3 linked regions of the Oryzias latipes genome follow. The protein of the gene in region 3 interacts with the protein of the main gene of each other region in a pairwise test. Links are inferred from orthologs where the notes say so. Each region holds a gene or a part of one and is shown on either strand. Other genes may lie near its edges.

Region 1 (5,775 bases), on a different chromosome or scaffold from region 3:
TCCAGCTTCCCAGTGTCAAACTTTGAAAACCCTCCTGATTGATTCTGCAGAGTCCGGACAGCGTGCTGCTCAAAAGCACTTCTGTGGCTCTTCGTGAGGCGGAAACAGGCCTTACAGACTAATGCCACCAGCTCCGCTCCACTGCAGCGGCCAGGATGGGGAGTCTGGATGGAAAAAGGAAAGCCTACGCTGTTCAACCTTTGATTTTAAAACCCCATCACTGCTGGAATCAGAGAAAATACTCCGAAGTTGTGTGATAGTCGTGTGCTGAACGTTCTGCAAACACACCGAAGACACAAAGTCACACCTGGTGGGGTGTGAGCTTGTTTTCCTCCTTCCAATCTTCTATTAGCTGTTCTGTTATTTCGGAATAACTATTTACGCTGCAGAGGTGACCATCAGACAGGTCCTGGCCACAGACACACACCTCCCCCTCCACACACACACACACACACACACACACTCTAAATGGGCTAAATAATCCCTCCACCTATTTACACAGGAGTGAAGAGGCCACGGCCTCACCTTCAGGGTGCTACTTAACTCCTCGAGTCACTCGTTGAGTAATCACAGCATTCTCCTGCCAGCCTACTGCCTAATTACAGTGTGTGTGTGTGTGAGTGTGCACAACTGTGTGTGTGAAGAAGTCATTATTTAGCAATGCAGGCCTCACAGGTAGACAATTGCACTGGCTGATTCGGACTTTTCAAGTATTTAGTGGGTACAGTTGCATTCTGAACGGGGTCCGCTTTAAGCCACAGATTTAAACTTGTGCCTCAAAAATTAAACAACAAAAAAGTTCCGTTCAATGTTTTCACAGTTTAGTTCAAATAACGGTAAATGTTAAAAATGTGAATGTTCCCATAAAACAAGCAGGTTTTCTGCCTCCATGCGTGCAGGAGAAACAGGCAGCCTGGTGTTTTTCACACCAACTGGCTCGGGAAGAATAGAAGCTGCAGCGGAGGGAAAAAGGCAGATGAGGAGAGCTTTTGCTGCGGGATGAGGGAGGCCCGCAGCGCCGCTTTAATCCCCCCTGGATCCCTCTCGCAGAGCCGGGCTTTGCACTGCGCGCAGCGCTTGGCTCACTTAAAAAGGAAAGTATTACAGTGCGACAAATTTCACACTTTCTCTCATGTTTCAGCCCCAAAGAGGGCGACTCTGGAAATAATATTTGGTACGATGAAGCCATGATCCAGCAGCTGGAGACTGACATCATTTTTTGGGGTCCAAAATCATGATCGCAGATACAAAAACAAACCTTTTTGGATCAGTTGATCAATTAATTAAAAACGACACATATTCAATACATTTTACTTTTCTTGTTCAATCAGCCTCATTTGACCTGAATCATTGGACTGTTTGCTGCAGGAGAAACGTCCGTTTTTTCCTCTCTGCTGCTGCGCTTCTCACACAAACACTCCACTGTTTTCACCTGTTTCCCTTTTCAAACGGGGAACAGGTCCATTACCTCCCGAACCGAGTCACCTCATTTCACTTTAACAGCTCCCGTCCCCATTCCAGCGTATTCGATTAAATAAAAACATCTGTTAAAGTTAAAAACGTTTGATTAAACGAGACTAATAAAAACTAAATAAAAAGAAAAAACTCAGGGACTATTATAACAAACAAACCCCCCAAAAAATCTGAGATAGGAGAGTTGAAGAATAAAAATAAACGTGTCGTCGATTTTATTAAATATTCAGAGAATAAAATAAGCGAATACGATTTTTCAAAATGATTTGTTTTCTGCAGATTTACTCTTAGAAATGTGTTTTTTCTAAGATAAAATTAAAGAATATTGTACGGACAATACATATTCTCAATTTTATGATATATTTGGAAAATCTAAACTTTTTATTTCTAAAACTGCATTTTTTGTAAAGCTTAAATGGGGAAATAGTCAATAGAAAAAGTATGGGTTGTGTGCATTCTAAAATGTGTCCTTATTTTTTTATGTTTAGATATTATTAAAGATTATAAATAAATACAATTTTATTTCACTTCTTTAGTGACGCATATGTTTTTGAGATTTATTTAGAATCGTTTTTCGCCACAATAAGTTCAAATAAGACTTAACTGGTAACACGCGCACTTTGGCGGATTTTCTCAATTGGTTTAAAGGAATAAAAAACTTTTATGAATTTAAAAGTGTTAAATAAAATGAGCGATGAACTGTTTCTGTTAATGACGACTAATGTTCAGCAAACCGTAGGGATCTAAGTTCATGAAGAAACACTGAAAATGTGCAAATGCAGGAGGTTGAACGATGTGATGCGGCAGTACCACCGGCCTCAGTGTGTGTGTGTGTGTGTGTGAGTGTGTGTGGGTGGGGGGTGCTGGTTTGAGGGATGGATGGGATGACTGTGGTGACGTCAGCGCGAGGCGTGCAGCGGAGTGCCGGGGAAGAAAACCAAGACAGCGCTGCACAGACGCGTAAAGCGCCGACATCCGCGGACACAGCGTTCACGCGCTACAGCCCGAGTGGATTTACTGAACACCTGCATGGGGACACTGTGAGGCTTTGTTACATTTTTTTTCTGTCTTCTGCTGGGAACTGACTGGTGAGTAAAATTAGAAATATTGCTAAATGTATTGAGCATTATTGAAGCAGCCAGTCAAAGTAAATGACAAACATTTACTTTGAGGTTGCCCTGCCCTGAGTTTAATGGAACTTTACGCACGGGAGCGATCAGGATTTAAGCCTCAGCTTCAGATTTTTTTAAAAAACATCCATAGATCCAGAGCTGTTCGAGGTCTCTGAGCATCCGTGTGAAGCACATGAAGCACTCAGACTGCTGCCTACAGCTCGGTGAAAGGACGGGAGTGAAGCAGGGCTGTGCGTTCTGAGTGAAGATTTACTGTGGACATAAAAGCAGCAAAAGGATTCCTGTAGATAAGAGCAGCTTTGTGTGAGAATGCGCGCAGTGTCATGGTAAAGGTAACCTTTGCGTCTGTGAAGTTTGGTCAGCGATGTTTCTGTTTGGCCAAAACTCCAAGAACGCATATTGATCAAATTATGACAGACATTTGACAGATGTCATAGAGGACAGAGAAGATTATTGCTTTTACATTGATTTTATTTTTGTTTAGCGTAGGATTTGTAAATGGAAATGAAAAAAAATGTATGGTAGAAATATTTAAAGGGTTTAATGTTCATTCTGCTTTGACATTCCTTTTGAATTTTACATGTTTATTTTTTATTATTTTACCAGGATTAAAGAACAACAAAGAAAAAGAAAATCCTTCTATTCAACATATTGAATTTGTGTGTTTCAGGCATCTGGAATGGAACTGAATCTATCAAAGAATGTTATTTCCTGTGGGGACCAAGGTATCAGTTCTACTTTTCTTCTTTTCTCGCTCACAGTTTTAGTTTTTGTAAAAATTCCCTGAAATACAAAGTCTTAAATCAGTCCGTGTAAAACAGTCTTCCTTGGATTTTTTAAATAAATGCCGGTTTTGACCTCAACTAATTCCATTTCTGATCATGAAAAAAACAGGACAATGAAATGAGTTATGGGTGTGATAAGTTTAATATCTAAAATACCATTGTTTTTTCATCCAAAAGACAAAAATCGGTATTAACGCGTTGTTGCGCATGCTCTTAAACATTGCGCATAAGATTTTATTTCAGTTTATGAGGATTCATGGTGGACTTCTGTGTCTTCTTGTTTAAAATCTTTCATATATTTGTGCAACGTGTTTTTACAGCCTAATTTTAAGGCTTCAGTCGAACTAAAACTCTTGAAAAGTTAGAGGAACGCTGCTGATCTCTTTCTCCTGTGTGTTTTTTTGTGATCTCGACGTTAGCAGGCGTTTTGTTGGCACGGCGCTCTGCTCTGTAAAGCTGTTTGTTGCCGGTCAGACTGCAGGTCAAGAAGGCCTTTGGGCCAGAAGGAAAACCATCACCTAGGCAATAATCGGCTCTGTCCTTCTCCAGTTACTAACCGGGTTCAGTTACATCGCTGCGGACCAGCCTTTCAATCTGCAGCTTCGGTTTTCTAGATGATTCGTTTTCCCGCTGCTTGGCTTTGCTGTGCCCAACAAGTAAAACAAAAAACAAAAAAACAAAAAACACAAAGACTGTACTTTGATGCGTAATTGATGACGTCTCCTTGGTTTTATTTTCACTTCTTCATGGACAAATATGAGTATTTGCTTTGCCACTGGCCTTTAACCTGTCCTGCCGGATGGAAAGGCTTTTTAAGTCATCCATCACGCGCAAGTGCCCTCCAGAGGAGTGGAGCATCAGGACACGGGCAGGGATGGAGGATGAGTATTTGGGTTACCACCATTTATCAGCTCACAGCGTGGGGACAGAGAAGAAGGTAGCACTCAGCAGATAGATCTCCATGTCCTGCAAATCCCTTAATATTCTGGCGTGGAGTTGCGAGGTCACTGGGTTTGTTATGATCCTTGCGTAGCTTCGACTTTAGGTTGTGATCTAAACTGACAACTCTTTCCAGCTGTAAGAGATTCTTTTTTTTACAAGGTGCATACTTCAAACTTGGTATGATTCCAAATTATTAAAAATATGGGATTATATGATCTGTGGAGACAGGAAATTCATTCAGGCAAATTAAATAAATGGCGATCAAGCCTCCTGGTTGCATTTCTTCATTTAATTTCAAACGTCAGTGATGCCCTGAAGTTTTGGTTTGGTTTCTTTACTCTGGCTGCATTCGGTGGAAGTGCTGCATGTTGGACGGTCATCTCGAGGAAGAACTGAGAGCAAAATAAAGATGAAATTCTCAAAAAGTAATTTAGATTAACGGTTTAGATTCACACTAAACAATCTCATTTGTCAGGCAAATGCAGGTGAGGCCTTTGCACAGAGAGGCGGCGCAGTTGAACCAAGATCCATGCAGTTATTGAGTGATTGCACAATTATGCTCAGAAAGACCTTCGGGGAAGTTTTCCGGTCGGACGAGGATCTCATGTCAAGTCTTTGTCCTTCAGAGGCAGAAAAAAGCTTGACAGTGGCGCCGGTAGCAGCCGGGGTTTCAGACGGTTTCAGTCGAGCTGCTGGCCGCGTTGCTCCAACGCAGCGGGCCGGGTAACTTCACACTGTTGGGATCAGCAGCCGTCTTATTGGCTGAGGCAGAAACTAATTGCATGAGATCAGCGATGCTCGAGGGTCAAAGGAGTCATACAAGATACTTTTTATATATTTAGAGAAAGAGCAGCGCCGTTGGTGCGTGAGGCAATTCCATCTCTACTGTGGAGGTGAAAAGCTGTGTGAGGTTAACAGGGAAGCACACTCAATGTGTCATAAAACATCTAACAATTGTGTTAGACATTGGTCACAGTTATTCGCTTTTTTAACAAAAGATCAAACCGAGAACACAATATTTAGTCCACGCGCCATCTGACAGCCGCAATCCTATTTTACGCAAGACGATAAACTGAAAAGAAAAACATTTATGCAGAAAAGAAAATAGTAGAAATTAAATAAAATAAGATGTTATTTATTTCAAAGAAAAAAACTATAGTCTTTTCTAAACAGCCACACAACAGCAGCTTCAGGGCGCAGAGCTCAATTCGGTTTGGATGTTCTTGGAGCGCTCGCGCCACAGCACCACCGACTGCAGCGTGTGCGTCAGTGCCAACTAAAGGAACAAATATGTTCCCATCAGTGGCTTCATTTAATCGCATCCAGGCAGAATGTTTGCGTCCCAGAAAAAAAGAAACTGTAAGGTCAGCGCTCCAGAGGGAAAAACATCTTTCTGAAAAGGCCAGATTGTAAATCACAGCTTGTTTGGGCAAAGAGCAGAC
Region 2 (5,861 bases), on a different chromosome or scaffold from region 3:
AGAAACAGCCGTAAACCGTCATCAGTGATGGTGATCGGTGAGTCAGTGCGTGTGACGAGCCCGCTGGCCGTTAGCGCTCTGCCTCGCCGTTAAACAAACCCCTCCCTGCAGAACATTCTCATGTTACCAGCATACCACAGAGACGGTATCTGTCGGACAGGCTCCCTCCTGTCAGACGGGTTACAGGCTCCGGCTGCAGGTTGACGTTACAAAACACACGTTTACAGTTGGTTCAGAAAGACTCCATTGTTCAAGCATTTCATTTCTCAAACCAGATTACATAAGTCGGCTTCTCTGACACACTAGTTCTGATCTAATTTCACTTGGAGACCAAAACTCAAAGTCTGAAAAGATACAAGGCAATAACTACATGTACTCTATCATATTATTCTATAAAGCACGATAGCAGAGTGACTTCTATTGAGCTGTTTTAGTCTGGCATGAACGTCGTGTTGAGACAACCACTCCTCCAAAACAAACTAATGTTCTTACAGTGCCGTCCTGCCTCTTTTCTGATCTTATGGATTTACATTGATAGATTTGATCCAGATATTCAGCTGAAGGTAGGACAAGGATATCTGGAGGACAAGCCGTACACGGGACACCCTAGATGTACCCAGTGTAAATATAACAGAAGGAATATTTTGATTGATGGCAGAGAAATGGTCTAATGGGGTGTAGTATGAGGACATAACAGCCCCTCCCTCAGTACACAGTGCATACTTGTATGTGAAGCACTTTAAAATATTCTAGTTATTAAAAAAATGTGATCCAAAGCTGGTAATCAGTTGTTCAGTGTGAAGCGTCGTTATGCAGTAAACATGTCAACAGGTAAAACCATTAAAGTAGCTGGGAATTCAAAGAGACACCAGCTTTATAACTAATAATCAGTCACCACAGACCAAAAGCTATCCAACTACAACTCACCAGAAAAATGCATGCATAGTTAAGAACTTCACTTCCCAGCATGCCCTGCTGCTGTCACAAAAGGCAGAATCAGGCTGTTGGTTCTAGTTCAAATCTAGAGCTTTATGAAAGAATGAAGATTATAGAGATGCATTTTTAAACGTTTTTAAACCCGGAGGTCAGGTTAGTCATCTCTCTGGGGGCAGAAGACAAAAACCATAAAGTGGTTATGCAAGCAGCTGGCTCCACGCCATCAGGCCCGGCGGTCACGTGGAAGGAGGGCTGGATACAATTATTTACTCTCCTGGGTCCTGTTTCTGCCTGCAGAGCCCTGTCCTCTTCCAACGTTAAGGTGTGTTTTCAGTGGATTAACCTCAAGCAGAGCCCGCCTTCACAGGCTGATGGCAGCCTGGTGTATTTAATGGAGTTTGTAGTTAAACCATGATATCCACACGTGTTATTACACTTTAATGATAGTCATCAGTTTGAGCTCATCAAGTGAGGTGTGTAACGTTTGAAAGAATCCGTCAAAACTCTGCTGTGTTCACACCTGAACTGGGCTGAAAGCTAACAGCCCATTACTATAGCTCCATAACACAACAGAAGAGCAGCAAAGCCAGTGGGGGTTTTCTATAGAACCACCCACACTAGATCTTCAGCAGCATGTTCCTGATACAAAAGGCAACATTGCCCTCAGAACAGAAGTACAACTAAGGTAGAAGTGTGCTGATTGGCTGCTGATCATCATCACCGCAGAAATAAAAACAAGACATGTCAGCTTCTTCCTGCAGATAATCCGCTGTGGCTCTTTGTTTACTGCCTGTTCCTCTTTGCAGATTTGTTGTCTGGTACTATGAAGGGGAAATCATAAACGCTGAACATTACTAATGTCTGCAAATCAAAAGGGCCACACATAAAGGCTCAAACGGATAAACTTCTTACTGAGAAGGTTTCTGGAATGACCTCCACATGTCTACGGTGGAGTCAACAGTCACAACAACATTTTTACCTCCATGGAGGCTTTTCCTTGACCTCACTGTGAAATGTTCTGGAGTCACTAAAAAGCAGGAACCAGACGTAAACGGAAGGAGCTTTGAAATGCCAACGTATGAAAGTCACGGTCATGTGCTGCTTCTCCAACACCCATCTGATTTTATTTGGATACAGTCAAATGTGTGGAGGAGAATAACTGACAGTCAGATACGTCCACATTATATCGTAATGTCTTTTCTGAGTGGAGATCTTCAGCTGTGAAAATGGTCTCGATCCAAAACTCAGGATTGTTTTTTTATTTACACAGTTTTATTGTTAAGAGCTGAATGTCAGACTCCAGCTATGCTGTTGCTGCTGAATACAAGTACAACTAGAAACATAATCCAATCCCAGACTGTAACCATTAGCAAACAATACGATGTCATAGATGGGATCAGGAAACAGACAGACAGCTGGATGTAAAGAAACCTTTGCCTGGTGGACGTTGGGCCTTCCTGATTATATCTGGACAGACAGACAGGACGCTTCCTTATAGAGTAAATGTGTTTCAGGTAAATCCACAACAGAAACACAAGAACACATGCATAAATGAACGGAAGTGTTTCGTTTAAGGACATGATGAAGCCTCGGTTTCTGAGTCCTTCAGAAACACACAGACAGACAGACAGACGGACAGACGGACAGACGGACAGACAGGGCCTCGTCCCAGAACTGCGTCCTTATAACCGGTCCAGTTCCACCATCGGTACGCTAAGCCGTCACAAAACGTCAAAGACCAAATCTTCAGAGTTTAACAGGAAGAATTCTGAACATCTCGGACTAAATGCTGCTTCAGACAACAGCCGAGTCTGCTAGCCTCTTAGCTAATGCTGCTAACAGCTGATCGTCGCTGAGCCGTTCAGGACACCCCGGAAAGAAGTCAGACCAGCCGCCCGACTCCCCTGATCGGCAGGTAGGGACCAGACCACGGCGTTTCCGTCACAACATACCCAGGTAGATGTCTCCAAACGAGCCGCTTCCAATTTTTCTGCCCAGTCTGTATCGGTTTCCAACTCTTAACTCCATGGTGAAGGTTCTGTGGTCAACCAGCTCTCTCTGAAAACGTTCAGACCTAAAGCACTTGGCAGTAAATCAAATAAAAAACAAAGAAAAGCGGGAACGAGCAGCGGCGGCGGGTTTCTGCCCAAAATCCGTTCCCCGGTGAGCAGTATGTATCCGGATGAAGACGGCTTCCAACAACAATCTTTCGCCTTCGCTTTTAAAATGTTACAAACGTCATATCGTGACAATACAGCGCTTTCTAGAAAGCTTAAAGTGTCCACGTTATGCTCGTGATGTCTTTTAGGTCGATAAAAGCTAAATTTCCGAGGATGACAACGGATTTTGGACAGAGTCTGGCGTCGCTGTGGGTCTCCCGCGTCCTGTGGCGCTGCTGTGAGCAGAACTCAGCAATCTGCTCCGCTCTGACGTCACTTCCGGTCCAGAGGAGCGGGGGGGGGGGGGCAGTTTGAAAGGTGTCGAGTTCCAAGCAGACAGCAGCAAAACAGCGGTTTGAATATAAGACACTGAAATAATTATAGAGATGACAAAATATGATTTTAATGCAACAATTGATACACAGATTATACAGATTAAAGTATTCTGTAATCACACTTTGAAATTAAAACAGGAACTATTTTTGTTACATTGATAAATAAATATTTTGATCTGAAAATGCATTTGAATTTTTTTTTTACTGCTTCTTCTTTTTCATTCTGCTGCTGCCTTTAGGGGGCGCCAAAGAAAATCATCGGACTCCGTCCAACCTTCTCTGCATCCTCCTCTCCATCCATGACCCTCCTCTTTGGTCTTCCTCTCTTTCCTGGCAGCTCCAGCCTCAGCATCCTTTCACCATCATCATCACTGTTCTTCCTCTTAAACATCTCCATCTGCTTGGATCTCCAGAACATCTGTGATCCGATCCTCTGATGGATCCATTCCTGATCCATCCTGGTCCCACAGAGAACCTCAGCATCTTCCTCTCTGCTGCCTCCAGCTCTTCCTCCTGACTCTGTGTCTGAACCGGGGGTCTCCACCGTGAGCCTCACGCGGCGCTTTTATTCCACTATTGTGGCTCTCTGACTTTGAAGAAAAATACAAACGATTTGAATAAATGTTGGCATTTATTTTAAGATTTTTTAACTGAGGTGAACTTCCATTAGCAGAATAAACTCTACTTATATTAAACCACTGCTGGGAGTTGCCATACTAAGAGGCTTGTGTGTCTAACCTCGTCTCTCAGTCTGTCCATCACCAAAGAAACAAGAAGGCGCTCAAAGCTGATCCTTGGCGTAGTCCCACCTCCATCTTCTCTTCTCTTGTCTCCCGGTTGTTCTGAAGATCTCCAACATTCTTCTCTGTCCCTGCAGACTTCTTCATCCAAACCACAGCTCTGCTCTCGTTTTCTGAAAAGACAACCAAACCACACTATTCCTACTTCAGGTTAGAAAATCTTTTTACTTTTGTTGGTTTAATGAGGCGATTGATTTTCCTAAATCCCATTGCTTTTACTGGCTGCATTTTTTATACATTTGTAATAGATTTTATTAAAATGTTCATGAATTACTTGATTAGAAATCCTATTTATTAGATGTTCTTTTTTATTTATACTGAAATTGATCACAGATTGTACTATAAGACACTCCTAGTCTTCCACACGTCACCTACAGTCAAAGAAGCTCATCCTGTCATGTTGCCTTGCATGAATGAGCTGTAGCATTTTACATCAGAATCTGGAAATGCATGTTAATAAACAGGGTTAACCTTCTACATAGTTCTTTACAATACCTTAAGCCTCAAAGGTTAATGAGTCAAGTGACCAACAAAAAAAGAAAAAAAAGTGTAAAAAGTAAATTCAGATGAGTACATAACACCTATGACTCATACTGCGTTATTAGAATTACATTAAGTTTCAGTTTAAATTGTATTTAACATGAAGCTAATTAAACTCCAATTAAAAATAAAGTTTTCTTTAAAACCCCTCCAAAACCAGACCAGCCACCTCTAATGTCAAAAATTAAAATTATACATTAAAAGGATGGTGTTAAAAAGCTCACTGTAATTGAAATGAAAGAAAAAAACGACAACAAAGAACTTAGAAACACTTTTAAAATCATGATTATGTTTTTTTTCCAGCAAAGTTTAGGATTTTTGTTTATATGCAGTTTTTTCCCCTCAAAACGGTGCGTTTTCGTTTTCACTAAATGTTCTTCACAGTAAAAGTGAACCTCTTCTTTCCTGCTTTTATTCTGAAGGAAAAACCGGAAACACGTCGAGTCTACTTCCTGTCCCGGCTTTCTTTCCGGTTTTTCTCGCTGAATGAAGAGAAATGGCAGAAACTGCGAAGGAAACCGGAAAATCTGCAGCAAAAAATTCCGACGAAAGACAGACGGAAGCAAAACGCGTCAAGTAAGGTTTCTGAAACGCTGTTTCTTACTGTCTTCCTGTTGTTTGCCTTTAACTTTCACCTTGAAGCTCCGAGAAACTAGGGTAGTTTCAAATTAATGATTGACAGACAGTTACAGAAGTGCGGTGATGAAGTTAGTTTTAGGTTGGATATTCCACAGACATTCAGCGCGGATGTCCAGTGGGGTCTCTTAGGGACCGTCAACAAATTAACAAGTGCATGATGGGATGGAGAAGATTTTAGATCAAACCTAAAGGCTTTGCAAAAAGAAAGAAATGACTAAAATTTCCTCTTGTTGTGTCTAAACAATCTAATTTATTTTGTAATGTTTTAATAGGAAAGTTTTGCAATCATAGTTGCTCATCATTTAATAAGAAAATGGTTTGAAGTAAATATTCTGTTTTTTTCCAATGGCATCCAAACCATGTGACCTTATGATTCCAAATATATGCAGAATTATGGCTCCGACATTCTAATACCACACACACACAAACATTTTATATGAAATTTTAGATTA
Region 3 (5,795 bases):
CTTCAAGGGAAGTAAGTACTAAATGTGAAACTGCAGATAAACTAAAGTGTCACTGTGGGCATTCTAAAAACATTTTCTTAACTTTAGACTTGATCAATGCCTGGAGCTTCTGATCAGGACAAACAGACTACCAGAGGCTGCCTTTTTGGCTCGCACCTACCTGCCTAGCCAGGTGTCCCGTGTGGTCAAACTGTGGAGAGAGAGTTTATCCAAAATCAACCAGAAGGTTTGTTTGGAATTACCGTAGCTTGATGCTTCTGTGGATGCAACTTTGAGTTAATCAGACAGATTTGGAAGTTTCCTGTTCATTATTCTCTTTTATTTTCTTCCTATTTGCAGGCAGCTGAATCCCTCGCAGACCCCACAGAATATGAAAACCTGTTCCCAGGCCTGAAGGAAGCCTTTGCAGCAGAGCATTACCTGAGAGAGACCTGCGTGGGTGGCTCCAGACCTGCTAAAGACTATCCACTAGTCACAGTGAGTTCTATTCTTTGTGACAAAAGTTACAGAGTGCATAGTTTTAAAGTGACTAAATAAAGTGAATGTTTATGTATTTAAAATAAGTCTATTTCTGACACTTTTAGCCCAATGAAGACAGGAATATTCTGGAGGAAGCTCAGGGATACGAGCCCAAAGGCACTTTCATTCCCTTCGTGTCTGAGGTTTGTTTACAGCACTTTGCTTCTATTGATCCAATTTCTTCTTGTAACTGACTTGAGCTCTGTAGCACTCTGGAAAAGTGCTCTGCCAGTTTACATGTTTCTTTAATTTTTTAACTTTACTGCATTTATTTCCAGACAAAAGACAGCGAAGAATCCAGCTCAGTCGCTCCTGTCATACTTTCACAGCCTGAACCCCCGGCTCCTAAAGAAGCTGAAAAAGAGCCAGAGGACGACCTTCCTGATTTTGCACAGTCAGAGAAAGAGAAGGTCAGGCTTTTTTTTGGTGTTTTTATAAAATTTAGATTTTATGAATAAACTTCAAAAAATTGTATCTATTCAGAGCGCATTTGTACTGCAGGATGTAGAGTCCTCATTACCACGTTTCAAATTTGTTATCTGTTTGCAACATTTATCCAAAGAAGCAAACAAATGCTTTAAATGTTTTTTTTTTGTCTCTCCGTAGTCTCTGGATGAGCTAGAAGTGGATCTGGACAACATGGAATTGGACGACATCGACACCACAGATGTTAACCTCGATGACGATTTCTTAGAAGATTGAAACCTGCCGCTTTTGCGCTCCCAAACTTTCTTCAGAACATATTTAAATGAAAGGGACCAAATCCCCTTTCCCCATTCTTTTTTTTTATTGTATGAAAAGTGTAATATTGCCATGTTGACCTACCGCTTTTGAAAGGATTCCTTTAGAAGATAATACAAGTTCTGTTCTGTTTTCCAGAAGATTAAGGTGGGGAGGTTGTAACTTCTCCATTTTTATGCCATTTATTGATGGAGACTTAAAAGATTTTCTGTCTACTATACATTGTTATTCACATTTTGCTTTGTGTTGCCTTTAATGCAAATCAAAGTTGATTCAGTCCAATAAATTGTGGTTGCTGTACAGTTTTGACTGTTATCGTTCTCCTTAGGCTTCAAACTTTGGGGGAGGGTCTACAGAAGCAAAATACACAACTAATAAGGGGTGATTTTAGAAAAGACTTTTTTTAAATTTTAAATGCCAGTTTCAAAAACATCAAGTAAGGACTTTAGGTATGATTGACTTCTCTCATTGCTTATGGGCACATTAAAACTACAGATTTCAAAAATCAAATCTGAGATCAAGCTTTTATACCTTAAATGTATATAAAAAATGGAATTTGGGTGTTAAGTATTTTACTTTCCCCATTAACAGCAGGGCAGCACTGAGATCTGTCAACAAGGACAGGATCACTGACAAGAATGTTGCACTTAATTTCTGTATATTTGTTACTAAAACATTTCAATTTCAATTAAAAATATATTTTTCTTTGAATTTGGTATCAAAACCCCATTGCAATTTAAAATAAATTTGATTTAGCTTTATTTTATGTGAGATTGAATTGTAATTTTTCATAATGAAATCTAAGTTGCAAAAGGCCTTTTCAGATTGCAAGCCTGATTTGCAAATTAAATTGTCAATTTAAAAATATATTTTAAAATAAAAAAATTAATTGTCAATTCAGAATTTAAAACAAAAAACTTCCGTTGATTTATTTTAGTTAGGATTCACTTCGTGAAACCCTACACCACAGCTTTCTCCTCTGTGACGTGGTTCGTGCAATTCTACTCCTTTCCTGATGGTGTCGCTCTTTTCTAGAACAGGTTTTAGTATTTTCCCTTTTCTTTTTTTTCTCAGTTTCGTGTTCAACAAAGTGCAGAGGTTGGCAAAGGGACGAGGGAGAAAGCTGTTGTGAGAATGACATTTTGAGAATCTTTGTTTGCCATGTTTTCCCAGACCTTATTGTCTTTTTTCGGCGTTTTTAGCAGCTTTGTGAAAGTTTACAGAACCCGCAGCGAAAGCGATTCACGTCGGATGGCGCTGGTGGTACACTTTTAGACACGACAGACAGGGAAAATATTTATTACCATTCCACAGAAAGAGACCCGTTTGTCTATCAGCAGCTGTATAAAATCAGAAGCAAAACTAAAAAGAACTACTCTATAGGACCAAGAAACCCAAGGAAGACCACGGGACAGCCTCCACCAGCGCCACGGGGAGTAGGGGCCCGAGAGGGAGCCTGCCAGGCCCTCGGCTTGATGTACCCAGCCTGCCTTGCCTTAACCACAGTCCGGGATGGGGGAAACGAAAATTATCTACCACCTCGACGATCAGGAGACGCCGTACCTGGTGAAACTGTCTGTCCCGGCAGACAGAGTCACTCTTGCGGACTTTAAAAATGTCATCAAGAAACCAAATTACAAATTTTTCTTCAAATCGATGGATGATGACTTCGGGTAACTATTAAAGAGCGGATTTTCTCTGTCAAGAACTGAAGGAGTCAGTGAAATATGCTTTTCAGGAAGATTTTGCTGTGCGATTCCTTGTTTGTTTTCCCTTCCGTCGACTTCCCATAAATACGGCTTTGACATTATTAGACTATATTATTTGCTAACCTTTTGCTCAGCTGTTTCTTTGTTAGCTAGTCAGGCTTGTACCGTTAGCTGATCTGTTCAGCGTCCAGCTCTCGTTTGTTTACATTGCGCGTGTGGCTAACGTATACGCCTCGCGCTTCTTCAGATTTGTCTGACCAAGTTTGGTATTATTAGTCAGTGTCATAAACACACGAGAAAACCCCAGACTGGCTTAAACATTGTGTGGATTTAAAAGAAGTACTAGTTGCCAACCTCAGTGCTGTCAGTTGCTGGCTAATGTAGCATCCATGCTAGCAGGACGGTGTCAGAACATGAAGGGCCACTTTGAGTTTGGTCCAGACCCGCAGGCCCCTGCTGTTGTTGTCTATTAGCCCGAGGAATGCAGCGTTAGACACAAGAATGTCCTGTTCATCATGTTGGCAGCTTTATAAGCATGTGTTTTAGTCTTTAACAAAGGGGAAGAAAAAAACAGAAAGCCCCTGAAAATGTAGACTATCCGCGTCTATCCAGACAGCCAGTGCGGTCTTTTTTAAACCCTTTTTAGTCAGGTTTTCACACTTGCCCTCATAAATACAAACTTAGGGTGGGACAAAACCTTTAATTGCTGGGGCTAGCTTTTTCTTTTTAAAATCTATTTACATTTTGAAAACCTTAAAGTCTTTTTTTTTATTGCACTGCATAGCTTCAGTTACTTGATTTTAAAATCTACACCCCTTTTGGTAAAGCAAAAGCACAGCACAGACATTAGGAAAGCCAACCCTCAGCTTTAGTCAGTTTACTGCATATCAATAAAAGATATTGGGCATTTACTTGGAAAATAGAGATGCTGACACCTAAAAGAATGGTGCCTTATAGAGTGCGGGTTAAAATGACCCCACCTCGTCTGTAACAACAGGACAGACAGTTTATAGCTCTGTGAAAAAAATAGACCAGGAACACAACAATTAACTTAAAGTACAAAGCCCAACAGAAATCAACTGGAAAGGAACCAAACACACAAAAAGATTTTGTTTCCTGCATTTTTTATTTTATTTTAAATTCCTTTTATGCATTTCCTCCAAAGAAGCTCTACTTTATTATGTAGTCAGTTTCCTATGTGATATGTGATTGAGACCAGTTGGTTTTGCACCACATGAAGGACTACAATGCTTTTGACTTCCTGGAGTGCTGAAAGATGTCTGATGGAAACTTTACAGCTGTTTTCATTCTTTAGACACTGTAATACACGAAACATGACTGCTATCAACCACTTTTTAACCCTTACATATCTGTAATAATACACCTTTGCTGCTTTTTTTCTTCATTTTATTTTAGACTTGTTCTTAGTTCTCTATGAAAATGGAATGAATGCATTGCATCAGTTGGTGTTGTTCATCTCATGTTCTTGTTTCACTGAAACCTTTGCTTTATTCACAGGGTGGTAAAAGAAGAAATATCGGATGACAACGCGAAGCTGCCCTGTTTCAATGGACGTGTGGTGTCATGGGTATGTTCAAAATCCAGAATAGATGTTTTTGTGTGTTTTTTATAAACCACTGCCAGACAATTCGTTTGCAACTATTACAAGGATTTCCTTCTGCTGGACCAATTCTAGAGGGACTTCAACCTACCTGTGTGTGTGTACAAGAACATCACTATCAAACTATGATCTCCAGCATAATACAAACTCCTTTTTTTTTGTTATAAATGTTTTACAACTTTTGGGGATAAACAGAAATCCTGCATTGGCTTTTAGACAAAAGATTTGGTTCTGGTTAACAGTCTGTTTCCTTTTAACACTGAAATTGGATTAAAGACAAGTGAAATCACAGGATAGCGGTGGATTGCTCATTACCAAAGGGTCCTACTGTGTGTCATTTAACAAGAAAATTGAATATCGCAGAGAGGAAGGCTGGAGTTGTGAGAGTTTTGTGGGTTGATATGAAAATGCTAATATTATACTGTGTGTTTGTGATTAAATGTTTCATTTGAGAGCCATAAACACACCATGATTGCTAGATATGTTGCTGTGTTTTTTTAGCTTTGTGGTCAGGTTTGTATTTTTTATGAAATTTTAAATTCTTTAGGGTTGTTACCCATTTTTTTCTGATATACTAGGAACTATTATTTTAGATTCATCCGTTTGTTAATCTCTAGCACTCATCTGTTTTGTCAGTGATGTGGTTGGTTGATCCCAAGGGAGCCATTATTCATCACAACAGTCCAGCACACTGATTTCAGCTTGACTGCACTTTATTGCAAGAAAATCAGTTGATTTGCGTAAACTTTGTCAAAAATGATTAGATTATTGTCTTCCTTACTTCCTGCTGAACTTTCTTAAAAGCCAAAAATGTTGGTAGTGAAAGAAGTCCTTTGCTAATGAGGTCATAAAACGCTGTTATGGATCCACTATTGGAGCAGTTCATTCTAATTTATGTTCATTTCTCTAATCTTGCCAGTGAAGTATAAATTTCATATTCTCGTTATCAATTACCTGATAAACTTAAGCTTTATTAGATAATGTTGCTTCATTCCAGGACAGAGTAGTGTTCCTTCCTGGCCGACATGCCATCATTTAACCCGTTTCAATAATCTTTTAACACGGATAATATTTTAAAAATGTGTTGAAGCTGACTCAGATTGAATTTGTGCTTTATATTTGAAAGTATGTTAAAAGATGAATTCTTTATTTGTGGATTACTCGAACACAAGTGTTTTATTTATTAATGTGTAAATTTGCTTTGA

Evidence for each region.
Region 1: the proteins of dvl3 (region 3) and pitx1 interact in binary tests that used the Homo sapiens proteins (3 or more experiments, as listed by UniProt). The two-hybrid records come from large-scale screens. The link is inferred for Oryzias latipes from reciprocal best matches to the Homo sapiens genes DVL3 and PITX1.
Region 2: the proteins of dvl3 (region 3) and csnk1d interact in binary tests that used the Homo sapiens proteins (3 or more experiments, as listed by UniProt). The two-hybrid records come from large-scale screens. The link is inferred for Oryzias latipes from reciprocal best matches to the Homo sapiens genes DVL3 and CSNK1D.

What each region holds. Positions count from the first base shown.
Region 1 is NC_019872.2:3,646,631-3,652,405, forward strand, and holds the start of pitx1 (pituitary homeobox 1), read left to right. Parts: upstream 1-2,419; 5' UTR 2,420-2,561; intron 2,562-3,276; 5' UTR 3,277-3,285; coding exon 3,286-3,331; intron 3,332-5,775. UniProt on the Homo sapiens protein: Sequence-specific transcription factor that binds gene promoters and activates their transcription. May play a role in the development of anterior structures, and in particular, the brain and facies and in specifying the identity or structure of hindlimb.
Region 2 is NC_019866.2:24,956,169-24,962,029, forward strand, and holds the start of csnk1d (casein kinase I), read right to left. Parts: upstream 3,357-5,861; 5' UTR 2,965-3,356; coding exon 2,889-2,964; exon of another isoform or gene 1-2,888. Other genes in the region: engase (cytosolic endo-beta-N-acetylglucosaminidase), read left to right, coding at 5,267-5,346. UniProt on the Homo sapiens protein: Essential serine/threonine-protein kinase that regulates diverse cellular growth and survival processes including Wnt signaling, DNA repair and circadian rhythms. It can phosphorylate a large number of proteins.
Region 3 is NC_019875.2:21,518,184-21,523,978, forward strand, and holds the start of dvl3 (segment polarity protein dishevelled homolog DVL-3), read left to right. Parts: upstream 1-2,325; 5' UTR 2,326-2,772; coding exon 2,773-2,933; intron 2,934-4,487; coding exon 4,488-4,557; intron 4,558-5,795. Other genes in the region: coatomer subunit beta', read left to right, coding at 1-11, 88-226, 340-477, 585-662, 798-929, 1,126-1,221. UniProt on the Homo sapiens protein: Involved in the signal transduction pathway mediated by multiple Wnt genes.